Linked DNA regions of Pelodiscus sinensis. The main gene of each other region encodes a partner of the protein of the gene in region 2 in a complex. Links are inferred from orthologs where the notes say so. Each region holds a gene or a part of one and is shown on either strand. Other genes may lie near its edges. The genes, in order: PPFIA1, PHLDB2, ERC1 and PPFIBP1.

What was found.
Region 1: PHLDB2 (region 2) and PPFIA1 share a complex: the UniProt entries of both Homo sapiens proteins name them as parts of the cortical microtubule stabilization complex. The link is inferred for Pelodiscus sinensis from reciprocal best matches to the Homo sapiens genes PHLDB2 and PPFIA1.
Region 3: PHLDB2 (region 2) and ERC1 share a complex: the UniProt entries of both Homo sapiens proteins name them as parts of the cortical microtubule stabilization complex. The link is inferred for Pelodiscus sinensis from reciprocal best matches to the Homo sapiens genes PHLDB2 and ERC1.
Region 4: PHLDB2 (region 2) and PPFIBP1 share a complex: the UniProt entries of both Homo sapiens proteins name them as parts of the cortical microtubule stabilization complex. The link is inferred for Pelodiscus sinensis from reciprocal best matches to the Homo sapiens genes PHLDB2 and PPFIBP1.

The regions. Positions count from the first base shown.
Region 1 is NC_134714.1:88,189,110-88,196,277, reverse strand, and holds the start of PPFIA1 (liprin-alpha-1), read left to right. Parts: upstream 1-4,161; 5' UTR 4,162-5,595; intron 5,596-7,053; coding exon 7,054-7,168. UniProt on the Homo sapiens protein: May regulate the disassembly of focal adhesions. May localize receptor-like tyrosine phosphatases type 2A at specific sites on the plasma membrane, possibly regulating their interaction with the extracellular environment and their association with substrates.
Region 2 is NC_134711.1:156,652,214-156,659,517, forward strand, and holds the start of PHLDB2 (pleckstrin homology-like domain family B member 2), read left to right. Parts: upstream 1-4,291; 5' UTR 4,292-4,313; intron 4,314-4,825; exon of another isoform or gene 4,826-5,067; intron 5,068-5,190; exon of another isoform or gene 5,191-5,372; intron 5,373-5,732; exon of another isoform or gene 5,733-5,875; intron 5,876-7,304. UniProt on the Homo sapiens protein: Seems to be involved in the assembly of the postsynaptic apparatus. May play a role in acetyl-choline receptor (AChR) aggregation in the postsynaptic membrane.
Region 3 is NC_134711.1:108,149,865-108,156,891, forward strand, and holds the start of ERC1 (ELKS/Rab6-interacting/CAST family member 1), read left to right. Parts: upstream 1-4,092; 5' UTR 4,093-4,099; intron 4,100-4,379; coding exon of another isoform or gene 4,380-4,447; intron 4,448-7,027. Other genes in the region: DNA repair protein RAD52 homolog, read right to left, coding at 1-49, 819-952, 1,820-2,016, 3,800-3,875, 3,974-4,092, 4,380-4,447. UniProt on the Homo sapiens protein: Regulatory subunit of the IKK complex. Probably recruits IkappaBalpha/NFKBIA to the complex. May be involved in the organization of the cytomatrix at the nerve terminals active zone (CAZ) which regulates neurotransmitter release.
Region 4 is NC_134711.1:120,150,783-120,157,644, forward strand, and holds the start of PPFIBP1 (liprin-beta-1), read left to right. Parts: upstream 1-3,856; 5' UTR 3,857-4,013; exon of another isoform or gene 4,014-4,017; intron 4,018-4,078; exon of another isoform or gene 4,079-4,382; intron 4,383-4,725; exon of another isoform or gene 4,726-5,210; intron 5,211-6,862. UniProt on the Homo sapiens protein: May regulate the disassembly of focal adhesions. Did not bind receptor-like tyrosine phosphatases type 2A.

The DNA.
Region 1 (7,168 bases), on a different chromosome or scaffold from region 2:
GACCTGCAGCATTAAGGATAATAGGAAGGAGGGTTTTCAAGTATATTAGGAGGAAAACAATCCTAACAATGGTATTGAGACATTTACTAAAAGGGAATGGTAGAATTAGCAAAGAAAAGACAGAAGTATTGGGTAAATAGTTTTTCTGTATCTGGGGGGAAAAAAAGATGATGTTGTGTTATAATTTTTTTTTCCACTCAACTATCTTCTCAAGAGAATGTTAAACAGCAGCAGCTAAAGTTAGACTTGTTTAAATCAGAAGGTATGGATAGCTTACATCTAAAAGTTCTAAAAAGTTAGCTGAGGAGCTCACTGGACCATTAATGCTGATGTTCAAGAAGTCTTTGAACACTGCAGAAATTCCAGTCCTGGAAGAAAGTCAGTGTTGTAACAATATTTAAAAAGGGCAAACAGGATGACCTGGGTAATTATAGGCCTGTCAGTTTGATCTTGATCCCAAGCAAGATAATGGCGTGGCTGACACAGAACTCAATTAATAAAGAATCAAAGGAGGGTAATATAATTAATGCCTATCAAGATGGGTTTATGTAAAATAGATTAAGTCAAATTAACTTGATATTGATGCAATTACAAGGTTGGTTGATAAAGGGAATAGTGTTGATTATATATGGATTTCTGTAAGATGGTCGAATTAGTATTGCAAAACATTTTGATTTATTAGAATTATATAAAATCAAGATGCCACATACTAAAAGTGTAACTGCAAAATGGAACTAACTAAGCAGGTATCCTTCAGGAATCAGTTCTTGGCCCTGTGCTGTTTGATATTTTTATCAATGATATGAAAGAAAACATCAGATTATCACTGATTTTGTTTGCAGATGACACAAATTGGAGGAATGGTAAATAATGAAAGACAGCACTGATATTGGATAGCTTGGTAAGCTGCATACAAGCAAACAATACATGTTTTAATATGGTGTCATGCATAACCCTTAGAACAGAGAACAGCTGAACATGAGCTCTCAGAGTAATGCTGTGGTACAGAGGGCTAATGCAATCCTTGGGTGTGTAAACAGGGGAATCTCAAGTAGGACTAAGGAGGATACTTTACCTCTCTCTGGCACTAGGGCATGCACTCATGAAATGCTGTGTCTCTGGTTCTAGTCCTCACAATGCAAGAAGGATATTGATAAACTGGAGAGGATTCAGAGTTATGAGAATGAATAAAGGATTAGAAAACATGCCTTTCAGTGACAGACTCAAGAAACAAAGAAGAGAGAGTTAAGGGGTGACTTGATGACAGTCTATGGGGAACAAATATTTAATGAACTCTTCCGTTTGGCAGAGAAAGATGTAACAGGATCCAAAGGCTGGAGTTGAAAGCTAAGCAAATTTAAACACAAAATAAGGGTGTGGTTTTTTTAAACAGTGAGGGTAATTAACCATTGGAACAGGGGTTTTGATAGATTCTCCATCATTAGCAATTTTAAAATCAAGATTAGATTTTTTTGTCTACAAAATATGCCGTGGCACAAGTTCTTTGGCTTGTGTTAGACAGAAAATCAGACTAGAACAGTGTTCTGTAAGAATGTGGCACTCCCCCGCCTCCTCTATTTTGCAGGGGGTTTTTTGGGCGGGGGTTGCTCAACAAAAATTCTGGTGGGTCTTTTTTTTTTCTTGACAAAATTTTACCCTGGCAACCCTAGAGGTTCCTTGAAATTCTTTTAAGCTGAAAAGGGTTCCATGGCCAAATAAAACTGGGAAACACTGGACTAGAGGATCAATTTGATCCCGTCTGGCCTTCTAATTTATGGATCACTGCTGGTAGATGTTTGAACTCCAAATAAGGTTTCTAAATGCATAAACCCAACACCCTTGTCCTGTCACTCACTTGCTCCATTTCTCGCCCCCCTCCCCTTGCTTGCTCTCCCCCACCTTCACTCAGTTGCTCATTTTTACCAGGTTGAGAAACAGGATTGAGGTCCAGAAGGGAATGAGGGATCTGGCTGGGTGTTGTGGGCTCTGGGGTTGGTCCAGTAATGAGGGGTTCAGAATGCAGGAGGGGGGTTGCAGGCTGAAGCAGGGGCTTCAGGTTCATGTTCTGGGATGAGGCTAGGATGAGAGGTTTGGGTACAGGAGAGTGATGTAGGCTGGGGGCGTAGAGCTGAGGGGATCCGAATATGTGTGGGGACTCCAGACTGAGGCAGGGGGTATGGGCTCTGGAATATGGCTGTGGGATTCAGATGGGGACAGAAATGAGAGGTTCAGAGTAGGGATGTTACAGTATAATTGAATAACTAATAAGCACCAGCTTATCGGTTAATGGTGTCAGCTACACTCAGCTGGCTCCTGGGGTGGAGACTTTGCTGTGGCAGAGCAGTGAAGCCACCTCCTTTGGAGCAGAGCCAGCAAGAGCGGCCTGACCTTCTCCCCGGGAGCTAGGCCAGCAGGGGCTGGTAGCCCCTTTCCCAGGGAGGCTTTGCTGTGGGCTCTGCACTATAAAGTTAAGCTTTATGCTGCAGACCCCACAACACGAGTAACCGTGTCACTGCTGAAAATCTCAGCAGTGACATGGTTGCCCTACTACATGATTAACATCCCTAGTTCTGGTTGCAGGTCAGGGCTCTGGATTGGGGCAAGGGGTGTTTGGGTGCACGAGGGAGCTCAACGCTGGGCACTGGGTTGGGGTCTGAGAGTTTGGGTGCGTAGGCGTCAGAGAGCTGGGGCAGAGATGCAGGAGAGGGTGTGGGGTGCAGGCTTTGAGAGGGAATTTGGATGCAGGATGAGATTCTGGGTTGGGCCAGAGGTGCTGGGGTGTGGGAAACAGGCTCTGGATGCTGCTTGCAATTTCCAAGGAGCCTCCCCACTGCTGATGTCACATGCCTTTCAGCTCAGCCTACAGGCACTGTCACCACAGCTCTCATAGGGTGCGGCCCCACACCAGTGGGGGCAGGGTGTGGAGCCCTCTGACCATCCCTTTGCATACGAGGCAGAGGGACATGCTGCTGCTGCTGGGAGCTGTACAGAGCCAGGTTGCAAGCCTGCCAACCGGACTTCTAGTTTCCTGGCTCAAGCTGGAGATCGAGCTCTTGGCCCCTCCCACCCCACTGGCTCCTAGACTGATTCTGAGCCAGAAAGTCTGCAAAGCAATGGAACAACCCTCGACCCTGAAGCCTGTGTGCCCAAGGCAGCTGGCTCGGCCCAGCCTTGGCAGGTGTCTGGTTGCTGTGCTTACATACCCTTTGCACCTCAGCCATATGAATGGGGCAGTTCATTCCACTCAGAACTGCTGTTCCAGGCTATCTGCAGAGCCACCTTAGTAGCTCTGTTCCTGAATCTGAGGGGTTCTGCACAACTGCAATGGACTTAGGGTTGCCAGATGGTTTCAACAAAAATACCGGGCACACTTGACATTACACCACAATCTACAGTACATCTTATTTCGAAAATACAGGGCATTTCCGTTTTCTCATTTATATTTTCTCAATTTGTTTCCCGAATAGGAAGCTCAAATACTGGACTGTCCGGTTCAAAACCGGACACCTGGCAACCCTAAATGGCTAGATTACAGCCTTAGGGGCTTGAGTACTGTCCCGCTAAACTGTTGTGGTACAGTCAAAGCTGTGCAGCCCTCTCCGCCCCCCCACCAGCAGGCAGGCACTCATGTTGGTAAGGGGAAGGGAATCATACTTTCATCATCTAATAAACCATCTTGTTAGTCTTTAAAGTGCTACATAGTCCTGTATTTTGTTTCATACTGACATAAATTACCTTTGAATACCAAGGTACAACTTCATTCCCATTAGGGCTTTAATTATATTGATTTTAACCCCCCCCCCCCCCGAACGGATCCACAGTCCCATGGATAACACGTTTAAGTGTAGGTCGAGTCCCATGAAAACGAAGCGTGCGGAGAACGAGGAGTGGCTGGGGCTTGCGGCCGTCCCGCAGCGGCTCGAATGTCTGGCACAATCAGGCCGGAGGGAAGAAATCCGCGTTTGCGATCGTATTGCACGAACGGGGTGGGGAGCAAGGGGGCACTTCCACAAGCCTCCCCCCAGCGCCGTTCGCTGCACAGCCGCGCCTGCAGTGACTGTGCCGCCTCCGCCGTGACTCTCGGGCTGCGCAACTCTCACCCCGCCCCATCCGCGCAGGGCAGCCGCGGGGTTGGTGCACGCAGCCGCGACACGTCAGTGCTGAGCGCCCGAGGCCGGCCCCCGCCGGGAGGGAGGCGGTCGAGGGGAGTCTCGAACCGGCGGCCTCCCAGCGTGGAGGAAAAAGGGGAAGAGGGACCGGGAGCCCCTCGGCGCCGCGCGGTGCATTCTGGGACCCGCACTGATTTGGGCCCGAGCCGCGGAGAGCGCCGGGAAGAGCGGCCGGAGGCTGCGGGGACGCGAGGCAGCGGCAGCGGCGGGGCCCGGCCGGTTGCTCCGAGGGGAGCCCGCCCAGCCGCCCCCCTCCCGGCTCATCGCTGGGCCTAGGCCGCCGCCGGGGACTGCGCGGCACCTTCCCGGCCTCGGCCAGACCCGCACCGGCCACCGTGGAGGTGGCGGCGGCTGGGCCAGGAGCGATCCGCGCGTCGGGGCAAGCCCGGGAGAGAAAGCGGCGCCCGGGCCCCTCTGCCAGTCCCGACTCCTCGCTGAGGCTCCCGGGAGCCGAGACTAGTCCCGCCGCTTAGGGGAGCGAGGCCTCCGGGAGAGGGGCCCTTGCCTAGGCCGGCGCTCCCCTGGGGCCTCCTGTCTGCTCCGAGATCCATCCTCGCACGTCGGGGTTCCGGAGGGGCTGGGGCACGACCCCACAGCGCTGGACCTCGGCTGCAAAGCAGCGGTCCTTCTTCCCGCAGTCGTCCCTGCACACACACCTGGCCCCCCTCCCTCCGCTTCTGGGATACTCTTGGGAGAGGGCCAGTCGCTGGGCTGCAGCGGGACGTCTCGGCGCCGGAGCCTTTTCTGAGGAGTCATTGGGGGTGAGGGTAAGTGTAAGTGGACGGAACAATAACCCCAAGTACAAATACCTCCAAAGCCCCGCCCGACTTTCAAAGCAGAATCCAGCAGCCTCCACCACTGGGATTATAAATGTGTGAGAGAAGACCCAGGAAACTGAGGGAAGGAAAAGATCCTACTGTTGTTAACAGAGGGGGGGAGAAGGAAAGCTCTTCCAAATACCCTACAAGAAAAGCCATCTCCCGTGTTCTTCCTATTTTTACTCTTTTGAATAATGCGATTGTGACCTTAGAGGGATTTCTGAACCTTGCCCTGCTGAAGCTTGTTGCACCAGCAGGGTAGAAGTGGCTTTGCCTTTGCACATGCTTCCCCCGCCGGGGCTGTTGCAGGAACTGTGGCCATCAGTAGAGAGGAGAGCTGAGACTGGTTTCATTCCAGCCACTCTTTTCTGCCTTGGGGACTTGGCTGATCTGTTGAAGCCATTGCTGCTCCTACTGGACCTATTCTTTACTCAGCAGGTTGATGTATCCTTTTGTCTCTGGGGTTCTTGAGTAAACATTGTACCCAAGGTGGATGGCAGCTCTACAGTTTTTCAGGTGTCTGAGGATCACACACAGCTGCTGAAAGAACAGAAGATAACTGGTGTTGCTGGAATTTTGGGGACTGTTTTCAAGCCATTTTGAACAAGGTAAATAAAATTTGTGATGTTTAAAATAAAAGGGTCTGTGGTTTAAAATGACTTTTAAAAAGTGACACTGTCTCTCTGAAATTCATTGTAAAATCTAAAGAGTAAGATCTTCAGATTTAATTCTGAAATGTAAGCAGTTTTGCAGAAGAATAAACTTCTACTGCTTTAGATGTTCAGATGAAGTCTGAAGCCTGATTTCATTTTTATAGTAATTGAAAATATGGAAGAAGTGTGTGATGAGATGCTTTTTCTACTCCTGTAATAAAACTGATTACTTCTCTGTTTGTATGCGTTTGCAAATGGATTCTTGTAAGCTTGCAAAGAAGGTTAAAGCGCACTCTGCCCCAAGAATTCTTGAAGGTCTTAGTGGTTCAGTATTGATGCTGAATAACAATGCTTTCTCATTTCCATTGCTTTTTAAATCTGAGGAACAGAAGTTTCTCCAAGCTCTGTTTTTAAGTTGTGATGGCTCAGCATTCAAAAGGGGCAGTAAGGTCCTGCTTAAATCAATGATCTTCCAAGTTTGAGCTCCTGTTGTGAAAAAAGTAACAAAGCTTTACCATTTATTAAGCATGATGGCACAAAAATATTCTCATTTTTATAAACTTCTGTGCCTCAGTCTATTTCTCTTTACAGGCATCTTTTACTATTGATATCTACAGTGATAGTGTAATTGACATATTCCTGCAGTACAAATGTTTTTGGTTTTATTTAAGTACTCTTATCTGAGAGTTTCAATGTCTTTTCACCTAAAACTTTGGTTTTTGTGTCCTCTGGTTTTCGTGTCCTCTGGATTAATCTAATCTGATTTTTCCAGTTGCTGCATCTAGAGGCAGAAATGTGCTACTGCTAACTTTTTTTGCACCAAAGTGCTACAGTAAAGATTGTATGGACAGTATAACAAATTCAAAATATGTGTCTCGGTTATGAATTAATCCATCTGTTTTGATGTCAGAATACAGTTTCATGAGTTTGAAGGATCATCTTTTGCTCTTTCCAAATAGTTGTGCAGTTCAGTAGATAATTGGGTTAACTGTGTCTTTTTTTGCTGACTGTGTGTGGTTTCAGTGCTTTTTGAAGGTTCTAGCAACAGATTTTTTTTAAGCATAAATCTCTCAAAATAAGGTAACAGGTAGTAAGTACCATAGAAACACAGCCTTGCAAGAAAATCACAAGGTCTTTAATGGGAAGTGGCACTAATATTTGGAAAATTTAGTTGTACACTGCATTACATCTGTTGTATAATATTACACAACATAGTTGTAAACACCTAAGTTATTTCAGCCTCCTTGGTGAGTATCATTGGTGGAGCTAAATTGATAATGTATTATGGTCCTAATTTTTCTTGGTATAGGAAAGGGACTTACACATTCTGATTTGCAGACCTTTTTTTGGTAGATGTACTCTTTGTGTTTTTGGTTTCTACTAATAACTTTACATTGAATTTTTTATTTCAAGATGATGTGTGAGGTGATGCCAACCATCAGCGAGGCAGAGGTTCCTTCGGGGGGAAATGGAAGCCATGGTTCAGGCTCCCCTTTACAATCGGATACTGATTCCCATTTTGAGCAGT
Region 2 (7,304 bases):
TAAACAGGACTGAAGATAGGACACCAAAAGATATAAACATTTGAGACTGAGAGTTATTTGACATTTCAGGAAAAGTATAGTCTTATGGCAGCATTCACATGAGAGAGGTACAATGAATGCTAATCAGACTTCTATAGTCCAATGGCAGAGCAGCATAGACAAGCCCCCAGTGTCTTGCATAAAATCATTGTCCTACTTGAAGAGTCTGTAAGTACAGATGGTTCATTTTTGTGAGCTAAGCTGTTGTATAGTATTAACCTGTTAGATAACAGCTGCTGTGATTCACTGCACAGTGATCCCTCTATTACCTGTACTTACCATAACAACATCAGAAAGCATCCTTAATGCTTGTGGAGTCCATTGAAAAAATATTAGAAGAAAGATCATAGAATCATAGAATACTAGGACTGGAAGGGACCTCTAGAGGTCATCGAGTCCAGCCCCCTGCCCCCATGGCAGGACCAAATACTGTCTAGACCATCCCTGATAGACATTTATCTAACCTACTCTTAAATATCTCCACAGATGGGGATTCCACAACCTCCCTGGACAATTTATTCCAGTGTTTAACTACCCTGACAGTTAGGAACTTTTTCCTAATGTCCAACCTAAACCTCCCTTGTTGCAGTTTAAGCCCATTGCTTCTTATTCTATTCTCAGAGGCCAAGATGAACAAGTTTTCTCCCTCCTCCTTATGACACCCTTTTAGATACCTGAAAACGGCTATCATGTCCCCCCTCAGTCTTCTCTTTTCTAAACTAAACAAACCCAGTTCTTTCAGCCTTCCTTCATAGGTCATGTTCTTTAGACCTTTAATCATTCTTGCTGCTCTTCTCTGGACCCTCTCCAATTTCTCCACATCTTTCTTGAAATGTGGTGCCCAGAACTGGACACAATACTCCAACCGAGGCCTAACCAGTGCAGAGTAGAGTGGAAGAATGACCTCTCGTGTCTTGCTCACAACACACTTGTTAATGCATCCCAGAATCGTGTTTGCATTTTTTGCAACAGCATCAAACTGCTGACTCATATTCAGCTTGTGGTCCACTATAACCTCTAGATGTGCTTCATTGTTAGAAGATGTGAAGATGTGCTTCATTGTTAGAAATGACTCAATAAAACACCTGTCCTGGCTGCCATGTACAGGGGCCAGTGCCGGAGGGGGTGCTAGCCAGGGGAGATCGCTGGGGGGGGGGGGGGTGAATGGCTAGCAGAAGCAGGGCTGGCTGGGAGGTGGGCCAGGGGAGATCGTGCGTGGGGAGGAGGAGAGGGAGAGGAGAACCGGCTGGCAGAAGCAGGGCGGGCCGGGGGGGGGGGGATGGTGGGAGCAGTGGGGCTGGCCAGGGGAGATTGCGGGGGTGGGAACTGGCTCGTGGGGGCAGTAAGGCTGGCTGGGGGAGACCGCGGGGTTGGCTGAGGAACTGACCGGCGGAAGCAGGGCTGGCTGGGGGGCAGGAGCAGTGGGGCTGGGCCAGGGGAGATCGCGGTGGGGGGGAAACCATCTCGCAGGGGCAGCAGGGCTTGCCAGGAGAGATAGGGAGAGAATCGGCTGGCAGGGACAGCTGGGCTGGTGGGGGGGAGGGGGAAGGGAGAATCGGCCAGCGGTGAGCAGGACAGTTCAGGGCGCACTCAGATCCTAAATAAAAATGTAAAAGCAGTGCCTTTTAAATATTCCCACTGCTGACAGTGAGGTTTAAAGGCACTGTAATGTGTCAGAATGGAGAGAACCTGGTGCATTCACCATCCGGAATGAGAATATGGATAAAAAATTCCAAAGATGGTGTCAGCTTTCTGAAAATAAATGAGCCCCTTTTCAATACATGATGTGGTGGTGCAGGGTTTTATTGGATTGCAGTCCATTTTTCCAATCCATATTCCCTTAACTTGCTGGTAAGAATAGTGTGGGTGGCCGTATCAAAAGCTTTGCTAAAGCTGGCTCTGGGGGCTTTGGGAGGACCAAAATCACCATATTTGCATATTTGTAATTTGCTTAATGAATATGCAAATATACAAATGAATGTTACCGGTCCTCCAAAAGCTCGTGAATGGATTTACTGGTCCCCGTATCAAAAAGTTTGGGAACTCCTGAGCTAGATCATAACTAACAGATTTCCAGTAAATGATGGTAATAATTAACACTTTTTATATAGTGTTTTGCATTTTCAAAATATTACAAAAATTCACCAATCCTCACAGGACCCTTATGTGTGGTAGGTAATGTTGTTATTCCTTCTTCACTCAGTGGGAAACAGTGAAAAATTAATTGACAAGGCCACACAACAAGGACCAAACTCTGAATTCAGAAGTGTCTGGCTGACTGTCCAATCTGCCAGAGTAGTTTATATGTCAATGAATTTACTTAAAAAACAAGGAGTCTTGTGGCACTTGAACTAACAGATTTATTTGGACTTAAGCTTTTGTGGGCAAACCCCCACTTCATCGGATGCTGTTGTTTTTCCTGAGACAAACTCACGCACCTAAGACTTGAATTTTTTAGTTCTTAACCTTTTTGTTACTGTGTATGTCTTCTGAAAAGTTTATAGGTACAGGTATGACATTGTAAAATGGAATAAAAATGGGATTTAATTTTATATACATCATTCCAAAAATTGCATAGAACAGTTAGCAGCCACCTAATTTAACATTAACAATTCAGATGCCTACTTTGCCAATCACTCCTTTCTCTTTTCTCTGTTATTAAGCAGCTTCTTTAAACCCACTTTGAAGTCTTTCTCCTCATGTACCTGGCTCCTTCACTGTTAACAGCTTCAAGGAGGTCCCTTTTATTCTCTTATGTTGCATGTAAATAGCCAATGTAGGCCACATACAGGGTAATTGTTATGAGTCCAAAAGCCATAACAAGTTTGTTAGGTTTAATGAAAAGCCTTGGATTCACAGGTGGGAACAGGGTGGTTGTAGGGATATCTGAGTCCTGGAATTTGACTGCCTCTCTCTTTGGGTGCTGCTTTTTTGAATATTTGGTGGCTCAGGTGCTGAGGGCATCTTGATTAATGATGACTCATTACCTGGGTGCTGCCCCAGAGCCAGTCCCAAGCAACATCCAAGCACATGGGGCCTCCAGCCTATTAGGTGCACCTGGTGCCATCTCCTTGGGCAGCAGTTGCCCAGGAGCTAGTGTTACTGGGGTCCCTTCCTCTCTCCTTCACCCTTCTGACTTGAAATTTTACTTTTGAAGTTTATAATGTCCCAACTAAGTTTTCTTTGATGATGATCACAAGTCAGTCACTAGCCTCATTTTGCATGTGTGTTACTGTAGGGAAGATTTCAGCAAGAGACATTGGCTTATGGTTCTCCAGGTAGCACAGTGTTTCCCAGCCAGGGTTCCGCAGAACTCTAGGGTTCCGCAGACCATCGTCAGAGGTTCTGCAAGAAATCGTGGCATAAATAAATACAATTTTTTTTCTTACAATGTAAGTTGACATATATATATAACAGCTCTTTACAAATAGTGTGTGTCTAGACTGGCAAGATTTTGCCAACTGTTTACACTGGCTGCTTGAATTTGCACAAGAGCACTGACGTTCTCATGTAAGAATTCAGTGCTTCTTGCGCAAGTATTTTAACGCTCCCGCTCAGGGATAAGCCCTCTTGCACAAGAATATTTGCGCAAGAGGGCCAATGTAGACAGGCACCTTAATTTTTTGTGCAAGAAAGCCCGATGGCTAAAATGGCCATTGGAGCTTTCCTGCGCAAAAGCGTGCCTATACTGGGCACGGATGCTTTTGTGCAAAAGCATTATTTGCACAAAAGCATCTGTGCCAATCTCGAAGCTCTTTTGCGGAAATACTTTTAACAGAAAAACTTTTCCATTAAAAGTATTTCTGCAAAATCATGCCAGTCTAGATGCAGCCATAAATTTTCCTGACAATAATTTAGCAGTAATTGTATTGCACTCCCCACTGTCAACTTTTCCTGGCCAAACAAATGTTTTCAGAGGTAGGGGTTCCTCCACAGGAACAAGGTTGGGAATCACTGATAGCAGTTGGAGCAACTGAGCTTTTCACCACTTAGTAGGTTAGCTGACCAAGTGGGTTAGCGGGCAGTACTACCATGCAGATGTTGCAGCTTCTTTTTCTGAAACCCCAGGGCATGCAAAGCAGCCTGACTCAACCAGCAAGTGGCCTCAAGTTACTGGGGAAGCAGGGCAGATAAACACACGCTGGGCATCTGTGCAATGCAGGCTGCAGCGTGCACACCTCCTTTTCCTGGGGCTCGTCTGCCGCCACTCCCAACTCAAGCGAAAATCTGCCCTGCGTTTTTCTGAGCAATCAACTCCGCTTGGTCACAGTCGGGTAGGAAATCGACTCATCCCTTGATGTGGGGTTTGCTAAGCGCCGACAGGCAGCTCGCTGGAAGTTTGCTGAAGCTTTGCTCACTGTAGAATTGCGTAAGCGCCCTCCCTCCCCCCCCCCGGCTCACAGCATGGGCCAGGAGTGGCGTCACCGAACTCCCCCGCGTGTGCCTGGGGCGGGAAGGGGCGCGCGCGGTGCCCCTCCAGCGCCACTGCCCAGCCGCTGGGGAGCAAAGGGGCGCAGCGCGGGCCGGGTTCCAGCTTGGCTCGCACGCCTCAGAGCGCCCAATCGTGCCATGAACCGCGAGGCGCGTTTCGCGGTGTCCCAAAGCACCGGGGAGTAGCCCCCATTATTTCAGCTGCAGAGCCCCCCTTCCCTTCCCCCCTTTGTTTGCCTCTGGCTTTCCAGCCTTGCTTAGTTTTCCCGTTCTTGCAATTTCCCTGTTCCCTCCCCTCGTGCCTGTCCCCTCTCCCCCCCCTTTCTTCCCTTCTCTTTGTTTCTGCTCTTCCTCCTGCTTTGCCCCCCCTCCCCCTGCCGCCGCCCCAGCTCGCAGGCGGCTTCCCGGCTGTGTGAGCCCCGGGGGCAGGAAGGAGGCAGCCCCTGCGAGCCGGGCTGGTTTTGGGTTGGGGGCCGGGCTCGGCGTGGGGCGGCGCTGGGGGGAGGGCGGGCCGCTTTCGGCTGGGGCTGGGCGGCGAGGCCGGCTGGCGGGGGAAGGAGAGGGATGCGCAGCGGGCAGCTGCTGCCGGAGGAGGAGGTGAGTGCACGTTCAGCCCGCCGTGTGCTGCTTGCGCGTCTAAGAGCGTGTGCGCCTGTGTCTGTCTCTGAGGGGTGTGTGGGGCGGGGGATCTGGGGACAAAACAGTTGGGTTGGGGGGAGCAGTGAGCGTAAGGAAGGAGGCGTGGGGAGATGCTTGTGCTTGGGACAGGGATTCCCTTTGAACTCCCTCAGCCCCCCTCCGGGGCCAACTGGTTGCATCAAAGTAGTTCAGTCGTTTTCCAGCCTCCCCTTGAAATGTGGACAACCCGCTCATTGAAATTCCTGGGGGCAAACGCTGATTTGGTAAGAGGGGGAAAGGGGGGTGGGGGGTCAGAAGCTGCCTGTGGGAGGAAAATGGGGCTATTCTGACTTGCTTTAAACAGCCTGTGTAAAAGGGGCTTCAGCCAAGACAAAGTGAGCGATTCAAAGCACCCCTTTAAGGATTGCTAAAAGGGGAGGATTGGAGGAGGGGTGCTAAGTGGAGATTTCCTGTTGGGGAAAAAACAGAAGACAGAACCTACTTAAAAATCACAAACCTACTCAAATCTTTCCAAATGTCCCACTGTCGCGGGATCTAAGTAGTTTGTCTGTTCTTGAAGGAAGGAGGCTTTTGTCTCGTCCCTGCTTTTCATAATTTTCATAATTCATACATTTGATTTAAAGGTCACATGCGCCTCCCAAGGGACCCATTGGTTGTGGGGAATGCCTCTGCTACGAAAATGGACCAAGGGTCGCTTTCTGTTTGTGTTCGGAGAACTAATGACTGAGCTAAACAGTTTCCATCCATCGCCAGAGATCTGTAGCTGGTACTTTGATTGGACGATGACCTCTGTTGTTTACAGGATTGTGTGTTAGCTTCTGGATTTATACATGTTTATAAAATACTGTAAAAGTAACTTCCATTCCTTCTCATTGGCCCTTTCAACCTCGTTTTCCTCTCATTTGTATTTTTCCTCTTCTGCTAGATAACACACATTGTTGTGACTTTCCTTTTACTAAACAAAGCCCTTTCTCCCTCCCCCTCGGCCTTATCCTAGCCAGTGGGGATTCCAGACTGTTGCATTTGTGTAGTCAGCAACAGGCTGGGATGCTGTAAACCCAGGCTGGAGTCCTGATTGTACAATCCAGCAGAAAAGCACAGCTGGGATGTGCAAGAAGGAAGTATTCAAAATCACTGATCTCTTACCTGTTAGCAGGGAGGGGACAGAGCAAGACTAAGTTAATGACTCTTTGTTTTATTACTGTTGATTCTTTTCATGTTTCCTCCAGCACAATAAACCTTTAAAGCTTTCCTGATGTTTTTGACTGCCACAGGGGAGTTCAGTTTATGAGCAGTTCTACCTAGGCACAGATATAATTAAAGAATGTGGATCTAGCATGAACTCTGATTGTCTTGAATTAATACTGACTTTTAAACTGTTTGCCAGTGGTGATGGTGGAGAAAGTGGTGGGTTCTAAATTTGTCTCATAGTGATGCAGCCCCAGATATTCTGTTTACAGATCAGCTCCATCCCACAAAACTAAACCATCAGCAATCGGAGCACAGGCTGGTACCCCAACCTATTCTGAGGAATTTCTTCTGGCTCAAGCTGGGGAAGGTCAGAGGTGTGGGCTGTACTTGGACTCTTTGACTTGGCAATGGTTCTTAAACAGAACCCAACACAGATGTATTACCGCACCCCCAGGGGAGATGTGTAATAATGCCATTCAGAATGTGGATGAGTGTGTAATCATCTGCTTATGGTATGTGTGCGCTCTGTTTCAGGGGGAGAGGGATAGGAGAGAGGCAATTTTACTTGTTTTCAAATTTAGCCCTCACTCTGTTTAGGTCCCCATCCCTGCCCCACAGGCATGGTAGTGACTGGGGAAAGAAGGAATGGCAAGGAGAAATACTCCATATCCAGCTGGATACTGACTGAGAGGCAGTCTTTTATGCAGTTCTGTGTATATCTGTGCTGCATATTTCTTTTTAGAACAGTATGTTTCTGTTTTGTCAGCCACATGAAAGAATGTCCTACTGGTATTCAAAGCTACTTGGAGAATTTCAGCCTGATGTAGTGAGGACTGCAGTGACAGCTTTCAGGGCCATTTGTTCAATACATGTGAATGTAGGTAACTTCACACTTGATAGAAAGCTACCTACCTGATAGCTGTGCTCTACTGTGTAAATACTTCTTGAAATTATATAAGATCCTTATGAGGACTAGGTGAGGGGAATATGTACAAGATGAAGTT
Region 3 (7,027 bases), about 49 Mb from region 2:
TGCGCTGCTGCTGGAGTGCTATGCTTCATCAGTGACTGAAGAGATGCTTCTAGGCACAGGTAAAGAAGAACTATTAGTGCCACAAAGGCAAAAGACACTACCTGATGCCCCTATGGGGGAAGGAATTCAGGTAATTTCAGAAAGATACTAACTGTCCTACATCCACTTCTTGCCACTCACTAGAAATGGGGGTGTGGAGGGCAAGACACGAAATGATATCTGGTAAGGCCTACTATGCGCAATGAAAATATCCAAAAATTTCTTGAACTGTAAGCAGAGGTTTGGTTTTCTCAATATTCCCAGTTGGTACTCTATAGCAGCACTGGCTAAGCCTTTCCTAAGAGAACATAATGGCAATTTTGATCATGTCTTGTTTGAATCCACAGCCGTGACCTATAGGGAACAAGTATGACTTGAGATTTCTTTTTATAAGCTTTCTTCAGTCAAACAAGTGGTGGTAAAATTAGGCAGCTGAACAGTTTAACCTTGTAGGTCCTGACTCCAGCCTAACTCACGGGTAAGGGTGGGTTGTGACTACTCCAGCACCTTGGTCAGGGCTGTTGGTCAGGAACCAGAGAGGAAAAAAGCACACCCCTGATGGACATAAATTACACTGACAAGTGGCTGTGATCAATGCTATCCCTGCTTGGGCATAGTTTAATTATGCAAAGGGGAGAGGTGTCTCTCACTTGCATACTGTAGGTCCATGAGAGCCCTTACTGCAAAGCACCTGCTGTGGCAGACCTGTGCTGCTGTAATGTTTAATGTAGATATAGTCCCGGTTGTTAGACTAGCAGATTAACAGTGGCCTGCCCTACCCTGTTTGCTGATGGGATTGGCTACTGCCATCTGATGTTTTTTTTCCATTTGCTCCCGGAACTGCTGCTGAAGTTGCTTCTGCCGTAACTTGCGCTGGTAAGTGGCATCGCTCCCACAGGCTAAGATGCTACTTCTGCTCCAAGAAATAAACACACAGTCAGATGGCACTTCAGCTATAATTACACAGTAGGAAGGGGGAAGTTTATACCAATAGCATGCTAGGGAAAATCCAGCTATGATAGATGGTTCTTCTATCACACTTTCCAACCAAAGCTGCTCCCCGAACTCCCAACATGCTTTACAAGCATTATCTATTTACAACTTCAGGGTTGTCAGGGAGGCTTAAGTATTACCATTTCTAGCAAGCACAGGACTAGGACCTGTCCAAGTTTATACAGGAAATCTGTGGCTGAAACCCTGCTCTTGTGCCTGAACCATATACACAAACCTGACCCAAACTCGAGTAGCAGAGTATTTTGAATTACATATAAGACAACATTTATCACTTCTTGTTGCAGGCTCTGGAATGGGAGGAGCTCAAGCCAATGCAAATATTGCATATACAGTTATGTGAACTGACTATGACACCTGCTATGGTGCCCAAGCAGAAGTAGAGCGCTAACCACCTCACTCAAGAGTTACAGCCTTGGAACCTCATGGTTCTGTTCCTGCCTGATAAGGAGCTGCCTGACTCCTGTATTCTCTGGCTCAGAGCCACAGTACTGTGCACCTTATAAAGTAGCTCTTAGGACTGAATGCCTCCTAAAAGCTCCTGGAGGAATGTGGGGTATAATAGCTATGGATCAAATATAGGGTTGGGTATTGTCTGAATTAAAAGAACCAGCCTTCCACTTAACGTGGCTCATATATGCTCTGGTCACTAGAGTGATATGGAATTTTGGGAGTAAATGGAGGAATTTGTACATTTTAAGCACAAGGTGACCAGAACTGGGGAGGGGTGCTCATTTATAGTACAAAGTTAAACAGATTAAACACTCACCTGGAGCTATTTTGCTGCTCCTGTTCCGTTGTGCTTGAAGAAGCTGTCTCCTGGCCCTGTTTGTGTGGGGACACGCTCTCACAGTGCTGGGGTTGCCCTGTACTATGTTTCTGCAGACAGCTACTGTATCTTGCCTTCTCTATTGCAGGCTCAAAATCTTGCCTTTTTGCTTTTGTGAAATCCAACTCAGGAGGCAGCTAATACAGGAAAAAATTGTAATTCATTGACCAATTCTCCCCGCCCCATTAACTCTAAAGTCACAGACACTCAAAGCATCTTACAACAATATTTCATGTTTTGTGTCCCCCTCTCTAGCAGTTCTTAAACCAGTATCTGGGCCGCTTTTGTCCTTAAAGGATTGGTTTGGTTCTGTATTCTGAAAGGAGTTAGTGGTTGTTTGCAGACCACTATCATTGGCAGTGTTAGTGAATGTTTATTGGCTAGCCTCTATACCAACACACAATAGAATATTTAAATATAGAAGTAATAGAATCTGGACAATCCCACAACAGGGAGGTAGGTAGGTAAGGGAGTAAAAAAAAAAAAAATCACACTTTAAATTTATAGATGTGTACACAGACATGTGTTAGAGCTGGGCAGACCATTTTCTTCCCTTCAAATGCAGGAGTGGAATCATATATTCCACCCTTTAACTGAGCACATATTGAGGGAAGCTAGATAGAACAATATAAAGTGGTGTCAGAGGGATCTCTCTCACCCACATACAACTGGGGAGTTTGCAGTGTCCATATTAATTCCACAGGAAGCTGCAATACTGTGCTTCAGCCACCATTGGTACTGACTGAGATAATAAATCAGCACCTCCAAGCCCACCCACCTGATTCCAATATGGCATTCTCTATCTATCAGGTACTGATAGCTGCTCCTCCTGGATCCTTCCCTTAGGTCAGCACTCCCAGGGCTCTACATCTGCATATAAGACTCTCTGGTAAACTGGAACTAAAGTCTATGGCAAGCTGTTCTAATTTCTGTAGCATACTAGATATTCTGTGGTGGCTTCCAAATATATCAAAGTGGAGGGGTTTCATTATAGCAAATATGATAACGAATAGTCAGTACAGGAGACCAATGAAGTGTTTTTTATATTACATTCAGCACATTTTTCTTAGCCCCTAAATTTTCAGTTCTCTGTATGCTGAAGATTTCTGCAATGCAGTACTGTTAGAGGAGAGCTGAAACTTTCAACAGCTGTGCAGGGGGAAAAGTAGTGGCTGGCAGCACTTCTTTTAGACTAGAGCTCCCACTGTTGTTTACAAATAGTGAAAGCGGACTGGGGGCAGTTGCTGTGGGATGCTATCTGAAAATTTTCTAGTTTAAAAGAAGCTCTACTGTACATAGCACAGTACAATATTTCAAGTAACATGTTTTGATGTGGCACTGGAATTAGTTCATCCCTATCTATAATAGTATTTATTTAAACTATTACCAACAAGGGTGCAGCTGGACCCACTAGCAGTAAAGATACAGAATGGGCTGGTGCTCAGAAACTATAGTGATTGGAATGAGATGGGAATCTGACAAGAAGAGAGTAAACAAGACCCCTGGAAAGAGAAACAATGGGTTTAAGTTTCAGAATTGTATAATTTTGATGAGCTATTGGGAAAAATATTTTACAAAGAATAGTCAAATAACTAGCAGCCAAGGAAGATTGTGGAATCATTGCCACTAGACACATTCATGGTTTCCATCCCTTTCAAAACATGAATTGAACCAGTGACCTACCAATCATTCCAAATTGATGTAGTTTCCTTCTTTGAGTTACCAGCATAGTGGATAGGTAGAAAGCAGTAGATACAATATATCTAGACTTTAAGACTTGAGCCAGTCACACACTACATTCTTATAATCAAACTAGGGAAATACTGTCTAGATGATGTGGGTATACAACTAGGAACAAGGAGGTTCCTGGCAAACTAAATTACTCTGCTTTCCCCTTCTCCAAAGTCCCACATACTGCACCTGACGAGGAAGTTTATTCACTGATCGCAGGTAATCTTTGTCCAGGATGCAGTTCCCAAGAGCATTTCCAAAGCACCTGAGGGACAAGAGAGCCTGCCATGACTGAGAATTTCGTATTGTATTCTTATGCCATCTTTTGAAAATGAGCAAGAAATGTTCAGGTTCTCCACTTACTTTAGTGCCCTCTTTAGCCCATCTGTCACTGCTTCTTTCCTTGCCTTTTCTAGGGACAATGCCTTGGACTTCAGGCCCTCACTCACTCCATAACCCACGTCTTCATGGTATGACCCATCCTGAGAGGTGAGTTAAAAAAAATGAAGGAATCAATACTGGAACTTTTGCTTTTAGACAGCTGATTAAAATACTACATCTCTCGTTTGTGGACTATATGTATTAAGTGGCTTGGAATGTATTCTCTAGTAAGTTCAGCTTTCCAGGGGCCCATAGGATTGTCTGGTTTGACACAATACTATGGTGTGTTGCAGTTCAGCTCCACACACACAGTAATACTGTCATTCATGGTACTTAATCAACTAGCAGTTCACCAGCAGATGGAGCAAACAAAATCACATCCATTTACCTTGAGTTGGACTTTTACAAATGCACAAACTCCTACATAGAATTTGCCATTGTTGAGATCAACAAAATCTGGGGAGAAGAGGAAGGAGATGGAGTTACAACAGAGATCCAAACAGTGTATCTGTCAGGGATGGTGTAGACGGAGCTTGGTCCTGCCTTGAGGGCGGGGGGCTGGACTCGATGACCTCTCGAGGTCCCTTCCAGTCCTATTATTCTATGATTATGGGGTGAAATTTCTACCTCATGCTCATATTCCTAAGAAGCTTCAGAATTAAACCTGGTCTATACATAACATTTAGATCAAACTCATGTGCCAGGATAAACTTTCACTGCTGAGTCTTCCACATCAGCTACCATGCTTGATCCACCATTTATATTACAACCCACAACAAAAGTAGATCTTTGGCAACAAAATACCACACCAAGTATTGGACTTTCCACTTGAAGGGATATGGGGCCATACCTTCCTTCCTTGTCTCTTAGATACCAAGTGCCCTGAGGAAATGAAGTCAGCATTTGCATGCATGATCATGATGGCTCCAGCATGGATGAGGCAGTGCAGTGACGGAATGAGCCAAGCTTTTTGTGGGGGTGGGTGGGGAGGGGAGTCACTCCCTGCTCCCCCAGGTCTCTATCAATTCCTCCACTACCACCCCCCTTCCTCCTAACATTAAAGAGGTCCCTGTCTCCTGCAGCTGCTCTCCCTCCATTTCTCCATTGTTGGGACTGAAAATTCTAATTCCCTGAAGGAGCATGGGGTATGTTGTGCATTCACATAAACAGGAATTTTGGTTAACTCAAATGTGGATAAAAACAAACTTTATCTGTACAAAATATGATAGAAAAATAGGAAAATAAACTGCAGGGCATCCTAAAAAGCACCCTGATTGAACCGTGTACCATTCAACCAACTTGCTATCTTTGGCATGCTTGCTGCAAGTTGACAATCCCTGCCAGCTATAAAAAGAATATGATTTTATTAAACACCCGAGGAGCCATTTGGCCTGGGAAGAATTGGACATTACATTGGTGGAAGAGGGGCCAGAGAAGACAATTCTAGAGAATACTAAGTAATAGTCAACATGTACTTGCCAAGAACCAATCATTCCAAACCAATCTAGTTTCCTTCTTTGAAAGGGTTACCAGAATAGTAGATAGGTAGAAAGCAGTAGATACAATATCTGGACTTGACACAGTCACACATTACATTCTTATAATCAAACTAGGGAAATATTGTCTACTCTAGATGATATGGGTATACAAATAAATGAAAAAAAATCATATTAAGAGATAGTTATTATTTAGGGATGTAAACTATCATTTAAAAAGTTAACTGATTAAACACTGTTTCACATGGAGCAGTCCCCCACCTGCGATTGGTGGGTCCAGTCAGACTACTAGGTACAGGAAAGCATCACCCGGCAAGGTTACTGGGGACCCCGCCCCCTTACATCCCTTTTATTATTAGTAGTAGCAATAATATAATTGATGTCAAAGTGTGAGGACTGATCAAATGTGGATCTGAATAGGTCTTACGTCTAGTACGATCCAATATTTTAATCAATTATTTGGATAATGGAGTACAGAATATGTTTATAAAATTTTCAAATGACACCAAGCGGGGAAGGGCTGTAAGCATGCCTGTGGATAGGGATGTAAAATTCAGTTTAACCATTTAATTGGTTAAAAAGGGGCACGCTGGAGCAGCCTCCCTGCCATGGGCTGGGGCTCCTCCAGTGTGGCTGTTTACAACCCCTTGCAGGGCTGCAGGTGCCCAGCCCATGGGGGGCTGGAAAAAACAACTCTGTGTAGGGCTGCCAGCTCCCAGCCCCTTGTGAGGGCCTAGCGGTGCTGGAGCAGACCCTCCACCTAACACAGGTGGCGGGGGAGGAGCGGTTGCTCCCCAAGTAACCAGTTATCCATTAACATCCCTAATTGTGGACAGAATAAGAATTCAAAAAGACCTCACCAAATTGGAGAACTGATCTGAAATCAACAATGAAATTCAATAAATACACATATCAAAGTGATGCACTGAGGAAGGAAAAAAAATCAAATGCACAACTACAAACTGCAGTAGTATTGCAAAAAAAATCTGGGAGCTATAGCAGATCACAAATTGAGTAAGAGTCAAACATGATGCTGTTATAAAAGAAGGCAAATGTTATTCTAAGATGTATTCATGTAAAAGTTGAGCAGTAACTGTTCTGCTCTACCTGGCATTGGTGAGGCCACAGCTGCAGTACTGTGACCATGTTTTCAAGGCTTCATGCTTTCCAAAAGATGTGGACAGATTGGATAGACTCAAGAGGAGAGCAACAAAGTTGATAAAAAGTTTAGCGAACATGCTATGAAGACGGGCTGAAGGACTGGGCTTGTTTAATCTAGAGAAGACTGAGCAGAGACATAGTCTTCAAATACATAAAAGTCTTACAAAAATAATGGTGATCAATTGTTCTTCACAGTCTCCAAGAGTAGGACAAGAAATAATCTGTTTAGTTGTCAGAAAGGGAAATTTAGGAAAATCTTACTAACCATAAGGGTATTTTACCCAGGGAGATTGTGGAATCCCTGTAAATACAAGTTTTTAAGAACAAGGTTAGGTAAAAACCTCTCAGGGATGGTTCAGGTATATCTAATCCTGCCTCA
Region 4 (6,862 bases), about 37 Mb from region 2:
GTGGCCAACTTCCACAGCGTGATGGCGACCCTCTTCTTCACGGGGATGGGTGCCCGCAGCCAGGTGGCGGCTCTCTGGAGCGGGGGGGTGAGCCAGGTGCACAGCTTCATGAAGATCCGCTTTCTCATCCGGAAATTCCTGATTCATTGCTGGTCATCCCATAGTCCGAGGACCACCCGGTTCCACCAGTTGGTGCTGCTCTCCAAACTCCAGACGGGCCTCTCTACGGTGGGGTGCTGATGCGACAGGGTTGCCAGGGCAATAAAGTGATAGGGAATAGCCAGCATGGGTTTGTGAAGAACAAGTCATGCCAAACTAATCTGATAGCTTTCTTTGATAAGATAACGAGCCTTGTGGATAAGGGAGAAGCGGTGGATGTCATATACCTAGACTTTAGTAAGGCATTTGATACGGTCTCGCATGATATTCTTGTTGATAAACTAGGCAAAGATAACTTAGATAGGGCCACGATAAGGTGGGTGCATAATTGGCTGGATAACCGTAGTCAGAGAGTTGTTGTTAACGGTTCTAAATCCTGCTGGAAAGGGATAACAAGTGGAGTTCTGCAAGGGTCTGTTTTGGGACCCGTACTGTTCAATACAGGCAGTCCCCGGGTTACGTACAAGATAGGGACTGTAGGTTTGTTCTTAAGTTGAATTTGTATGTAAGTCGGAACTGGTACATATTGTAGGGGAAACTCTAGCCAAACATTTTTTTTAGTTTTGGATAGCATAGGGAAAGGTTAACTCCCCTCTAATGTTTGTTTTGCTGTCTGTTCCCCTGTTCAGAAGATTTCACATCTATTTCTGTCCCTGTGACAAACTCAGGACTAAAGGAGTAACTCATCAAATACCAAACAGCTCTGCACCATGCTTTGAGCTAATAGCTTTATTTCCACACACCACCCAGGGTTCTAGGAGGAGGGTCCTTTTTTTGCTAACACAATGAGGCCAGCACTTTGTTTGTGTTGGTGGAGTCTTTGTTTGCCCAGGGAGCCCAGCATGTATAGAGGGGAGGAGGAGCGGAGAGGCTGCTTTTGTCTGTTCGGCAGCCTGTTGCTCAGGGGAGGGGGCAGCCTGTTGCTGGCAGGGGGGTGGGTGGGGGGGCAGCGGGCGTGGGGAGGCACTTTTCCTCTGCCCGGCAGCTCTGCGGGACCCCAGTCAGAGCCGGCCCGAGGAGGAGGAGGATCCTAGGACCCAGGTGAGTGAGCCCCGGGAATGCTGCTGCGCATGTGCGGGAGTTGCCTCACCCCGTTCGTATCTAGGGATCCAACGTAAGTCGGATCCACGTAAGTCGGGGACTGCCTGTATCTTCATCAATGATGTAGATATTGGGATAGAGAGTACGCTTATTAAGTTTGCAGATGATACCAAACTGGGTGGGGTTGCGACTTCTTTGGAGGATAGGGACATAATTCAAAATGACCTTAGCAAGTTAGAGAAATGGTCAGAGGTAAACAGGATGAGGTTTAATAAAGAGAAATGCAAAGTGCTCCACTTAGGAAGGAACAATCAGTTCCATACATACAAGATGGGAAGCGACTGTCTAGGAAGGAGCATGGCAGAAAGGGATCTAGGGGTCATAGTGGACCACAAGTTGAATATGAGTCAAAAGTGTGATGCTGTTGCAAAAAAAGCAAATATGATTCTAGGTTGTATCAACAGGTGTGTTGGTAGCAAAACTCGTGAAGTCATTCTGCCGCTCTACTCTGCACTAGTTAGGCCTCAGCTGGAGTACTGTGTCCAGTTCTGGGCGCCACATTTCAAGAAAGATGTGGAGAAATTGGAAAGGGTACAGAGAAGAGCGACAAGAATGATTAAAGGTCTAGAGAACATGACCTATGAAGCCAGGCTTCATGAACTGGGCTTGTTTAGTTTGGAAAAAAGAAGATTAAGGGGGGACATGATAGCGGTTTTCAAATATCTAAAAGGGTGTCACAAGGAGGAAGGAGAAAATTTGTTCCTCTTGGTTTCTGAGGACAGGACAAGGAGTAATGGGCTTAAAGTGCAGCAGGGGAGGTTTAGATTGGACATTAGGAAAAAATTCCTAACTGTCAGGGTGGTCAAATATTGGAATAAATTGCCACGGGAGGTGGTGGAATCTCCCTCTCTGGAGATATTTAAGAACAGGTTAGATAGACATCTGTCAGGGATGGTGTAGACGGAGCTTGGTCCTGCCTTGAGGGCGGGGGGGGGCTGGACTCAATGACCTCTCAAGGTCCCTTCCAGTCCTATGATTCTATAATGGCTCATTTTTTTGCATGGAAGAGTGATAGAAATCACGGAGGCAAAGTGTGGACAAGTTACGTAGTGCAACAAAGATCATGTTTGGCATCCACAGTTGGCATCTTCTGATTCAGAAGAAGCTAGTTGGGGAACAAATTTAGATCTTCGCAGAAGGTGATCTACAGGAGTGGAGGGAGGTGGGATTGCTTACATAACGAATACTCAGTGTAATTAAGATAAAGGCCAACTTTAATGTTATTTTCTGGCTCCATTCAGGAACTATCAGTTCAAGAATACAAATTATTAATATCACATCACATAGCAGAGGCCAGTACCCACCATCTCCAGAAGTTAAACTTAAAAAACAATAAATGGTCTGGTAGCACTTTATAGACTAACAAAACATGTAGCTGGTACCATGAGCTTTTGTGGGCACAGCCCACTTCTTCAGATGACCTGAGTTTTGAGTTTAGGATGTGCAGACCCAAAATAAACATCTCCAGAGGCCATGTTACAAGAAGGACACTATACAAGCTATTATCCTTAAATGCTTGCTTTTTATTATTTTTATTTTAGTAGTAGTAATATTTTAAAGGTAGGAGCTTTGTAGTGGTTTGCATAGTTGTTAGACGATCCCAAACATAGTAAAAGCGATGACTTTACTGATAGTCCCTAAAAGAGGGGAATTGTGGATGCTCTTCCTGTTTGGCTCATTCAGAGTTCATTTTTTTAATTGTATCCTTTGGTATATATGGCTGTGACTATTTTCTTCCATTATTTGATCTGAGGAAGTGGGTCTGGCCCACGAAAGCTCATCATCTAATAAACCATCTTGTTAGTCTTTAAAGTGCTACATTGTCCTGCATTTTGCTTCAGAGTTGACTGTGTGTGCTGAGTTAGTGAGTATGGGTTACTCTGGATAAAGCCTGTATTGAAATCCAAATGCTTGGAGCATGTTTTCTAATTACGAGGGAGCCAAACTCCGGAGATGTTTGTGTGCAAGAGGTTTAGAGAATGCAGCGCTGGGTTCCTGTTTTCCTCCCTACTCTGTTGCAGGCAGCTTTCCGCGGGGTGCCCACAGGTTGCTGGAGCCTAGCTGGGAACAATCCCGGGAGTATCAACAGAGGCGTTGCAGGGAGGAATCTTTGGGTGTGTGTCTGTGTGGGAGTTGCGAGACGTTGCTCTTCGGTGGGGGTGCAAGAGGCGTGTCCTAAGAAGTTGAAAGTTGGGGAAGGCGCTGGCCCTGATTTGGAGCGTGTGTCGATTCTGAACAGTCTGTGTAGGGAACACCCCCAGAGAGTGGGGCAGCCCCGGTGTCAATCACACTTGCAGTGTAACCGGGGAGGGGGGTTGTTTACACTTTCCTTTTGGGCTCGGAGGTCAGGACTGTCCCATGCAGAAGGTGCCCAGCATTGGCTTCCTGAGCGCTTCGTGAAACCACCGCCCCCTGCCCAGAGACACCAGGGAAGTCGCATCCACAGCCCCCCCCCCCCCCCGTCCCGATTTCCAGCAGGACTGGCGCTCCCCGCCTGGAACGCACACATGCTCTGCCTGCCCCTGAGTGACTGCTCCCGGCCCCAATGAGCTGGAGGGTGCCGGCTGCCATTCCCGCCCCTCCCCGAGCCTCTGTGGCCATTCCCCGCGGGGAGGGAGGTACCTGGAACCGGAGTGACGTCAGCTCCCAGCTCAGCCCCTGCTCGGATTCCTGCCCTGGTGCGAGAGGCAGGGAGCGAGCCCGGCGGGGAGGAGGGGGCGATCGAGGGTTTAACAAGGCTGCCCAGGGAGAAGGTACCGCGCTCGGCCTGGGGGAAGGGGCGGCAGAACTTTTGGGGAGGGACCTGGCTGCTTTCCACCCAGGTAGCTGGGTCGGATTGGACTTTGGTGGAAGTCAGGAAAAGAGGGTGGTATTGCAACACGGGGCTGTCTGCAGCTGCTGTTCCTGGGGCTCAGCTTCCCTCTGCAATTCCTGCTCCTCCTTCCAAAACAAAACCTGTCCCTTTCTCTTCTCTCTTGGCCTCTGGGTTTTTACTTGAAGCGCGGGGCTGCTCAGTAACGGATCGGGCAAAGCTCCCACGGAAGGGCGGCGAGACAGTACCTAATTCAGTCTGCCTTGCAGCATGACGGTGTTTGTGTCCGTGGGAAGGTTTCCTGTAGAAGGTTTGTTTGCAATAGTTGGAAGGATTTGTTTGGGGAGGAGGTAGCAGAGTGTGAAGGAAAATGCTGAGAGATTGCAGACCGAAAAAAAGTGGTGGGGGAGGCGATTGTATGCTTTGTAGTACATTGCAAATCTGGTGTTTGTAAGGATGTGTGTGTGTTTAAATGGTTTCTCTGTGGAGAAAGGGGGGAGGGAGGATTCCTTGAAAAAGAAAACCTGGTGCCTTCAGGTGCTATAAGTTTCTGGCTTCAGGCTTATACCATGCTATGTGGAAAAGAGAACAGGAAGCATTGGTTGGTTGTAATGTTGCTTCAAATAACATGCTTAATTTGTTGCAGTGTAGTGACTGAGACTAGGGTTCTCAAAAAAAATCATCTTCTAGAAGCTGATTGAGTTCACTAGCACTATGGGTTTTCTCATCCCCAAGAAAGGCTGTAGGTGCCTTTTATTTAATTAAAAATGTTGCACTCAGTAAGTTATTTGCATTCTGTGGGAGGCTGTGTGAAATTCAGCTGCATGTGTTAATTGCAAACCTGTCTCCTAAATCTAAGGGAAAGCAGCCTTTTGGGAAACATTTCAGTTGAGCAGCACAGATAATCCTGCTCGTCTCAGCCATTTCCGCTTTCCTCCTTAATTTTAACACAGGAACATTTTCTGTTGCTTTTAAAGTTCTGCTCTTTCTGGAAAGTGAAGGGCTCATGTGAACATAGACTTCTTTATTTCCCCTGATTGCTGTGGACTCCAGTTTCAACGGGCAAAGTTAGAAGGAGATCTGGCTAATGCTTATGCATTGCAATGAGACAAATCAATCTTGTGCCTACTAAAAAAAGGTAAAGAAGCAACTGTGTTTAAAACTTTAAAAGCCATATCTGCCTTGGTTACTTTAAACTGTATTTAGAGATTGTGTAGCCACTCTCTTGGAGAGAGCTGTCGACCTGTCTCCCCCCTCTTCCCCTTGCTGCAAAAGACATTGCCTGTTTCTTGATCTTTAGCTAGGGTTTGACAGAAATAATCTAGGGTGATGAGTCATGTTTCCAATGTTTTGCTTTCCTTAGTCCAAAGGAAGGTAACCCCCTTTCTTCCCACCTTGTAGCATCTCCATAAGGGAACAGGAATTGGCTTCGCTGTGAGTGAATGGTTAGCTGGCAGCTAGACTCATGGCACTAGAGTGGTGTGTATCAAATGGCATCCTCTCCAGGCCAGCCAATAGGGATGAAAACTAAGTGTGTGTAAGTGTGTGTGTGTGTGTGTGTAAACAGGTGATGACAAAATTTAGACTACTGGACTCTGCTAACTAGCCACTTACTAGGCTTGAAAAATGAAGCTGATTAGAAGAAGGTCTAAATTTAAACCTGTCATATTTCTGTTACTGTGTAATATAGTGCATTATAGCAAAAGGGTTGAATCTGTGTCTGGTTTGCCATACCGCGTGTACTGGGATGTATTCTTGAAAGTCACTAGCTACAAGCCATGGAGACATTCTGCTTCTAGGAAGATGGTAGGAGAAAGGTGTGCTTAAGTTCAAGCTCTTTCATAATTCATGGATTCAGTAGAACTCTTCCAAATACAACCATTAAAAAGCTAGGTGTGCCTTGGGTTAGCGATGTTTCCTTCTCTAAGGCCTGGTCTACACAGTCTTATATAACTATTTTGTTGTGCTCTTTGTCAGACTGTTTAAACCAGTGTAACCCTTAGTGTGGATGCAGCTATACCAGTATAGAAATTCCTTATACTGAAATAGCTTATTTACCTTCCCTAACATCAATAGTTCTGCTGGTATAACTGTGTTCATGTGAGGGGGATTGTATACTGTTGACTCTTAAATGAAAATGCTTGTCTATGCACAAGAGTAGTTAGTATTGCTTTAACTATGCCTGTGTAGCTAAAGTTTAGTTATCTTGAGAGCTTTCAGAGGCTTTGCTGGTTTGGTCTGGTTGCTTTGACCCCAAAAAGGATTTCAATAGTAAAATGTTTGAGTGGATTGTTGGAGAAGCAAAGTGGGTGAGGTAATATCTTTTATTAGGACAACTTCTGTTGGTGAGTTGGAGCAATAAAAGATATTACCTCACTCACTTTGATATCCTGGGTCTGATATCCTGGGTCCAGTATGGCTACAGCTACACTGCATAAGTTGTTCATTGATGCCATTTCAGTATATGCCACAGAGCTGAGCAAAACAAGTATCTGCATTCCTCAAACTGAGTCCTCAAAGGAAAAATGTTCTTCATGCTTGTGTGATCAAATGTCTGACAATAAAATGTCTTGGTGTGTCAAATCCAGATTTATTGCTTCTATTAAAGGCAAGAGTCATAGTTTAAGAATTAACATTTGTGAAGGACTTCTGACTTCTGGTCACATTGTAAGTGTAGATTTCAGTAAAATCAGTACCATGGTAATCAGAGAGGCATCATTGAAGCACTGGGTTGGGAACCAGGAGATATGGGTTCTGTTTTGCTTTGATGCTGACTTGATTTATTAAGTC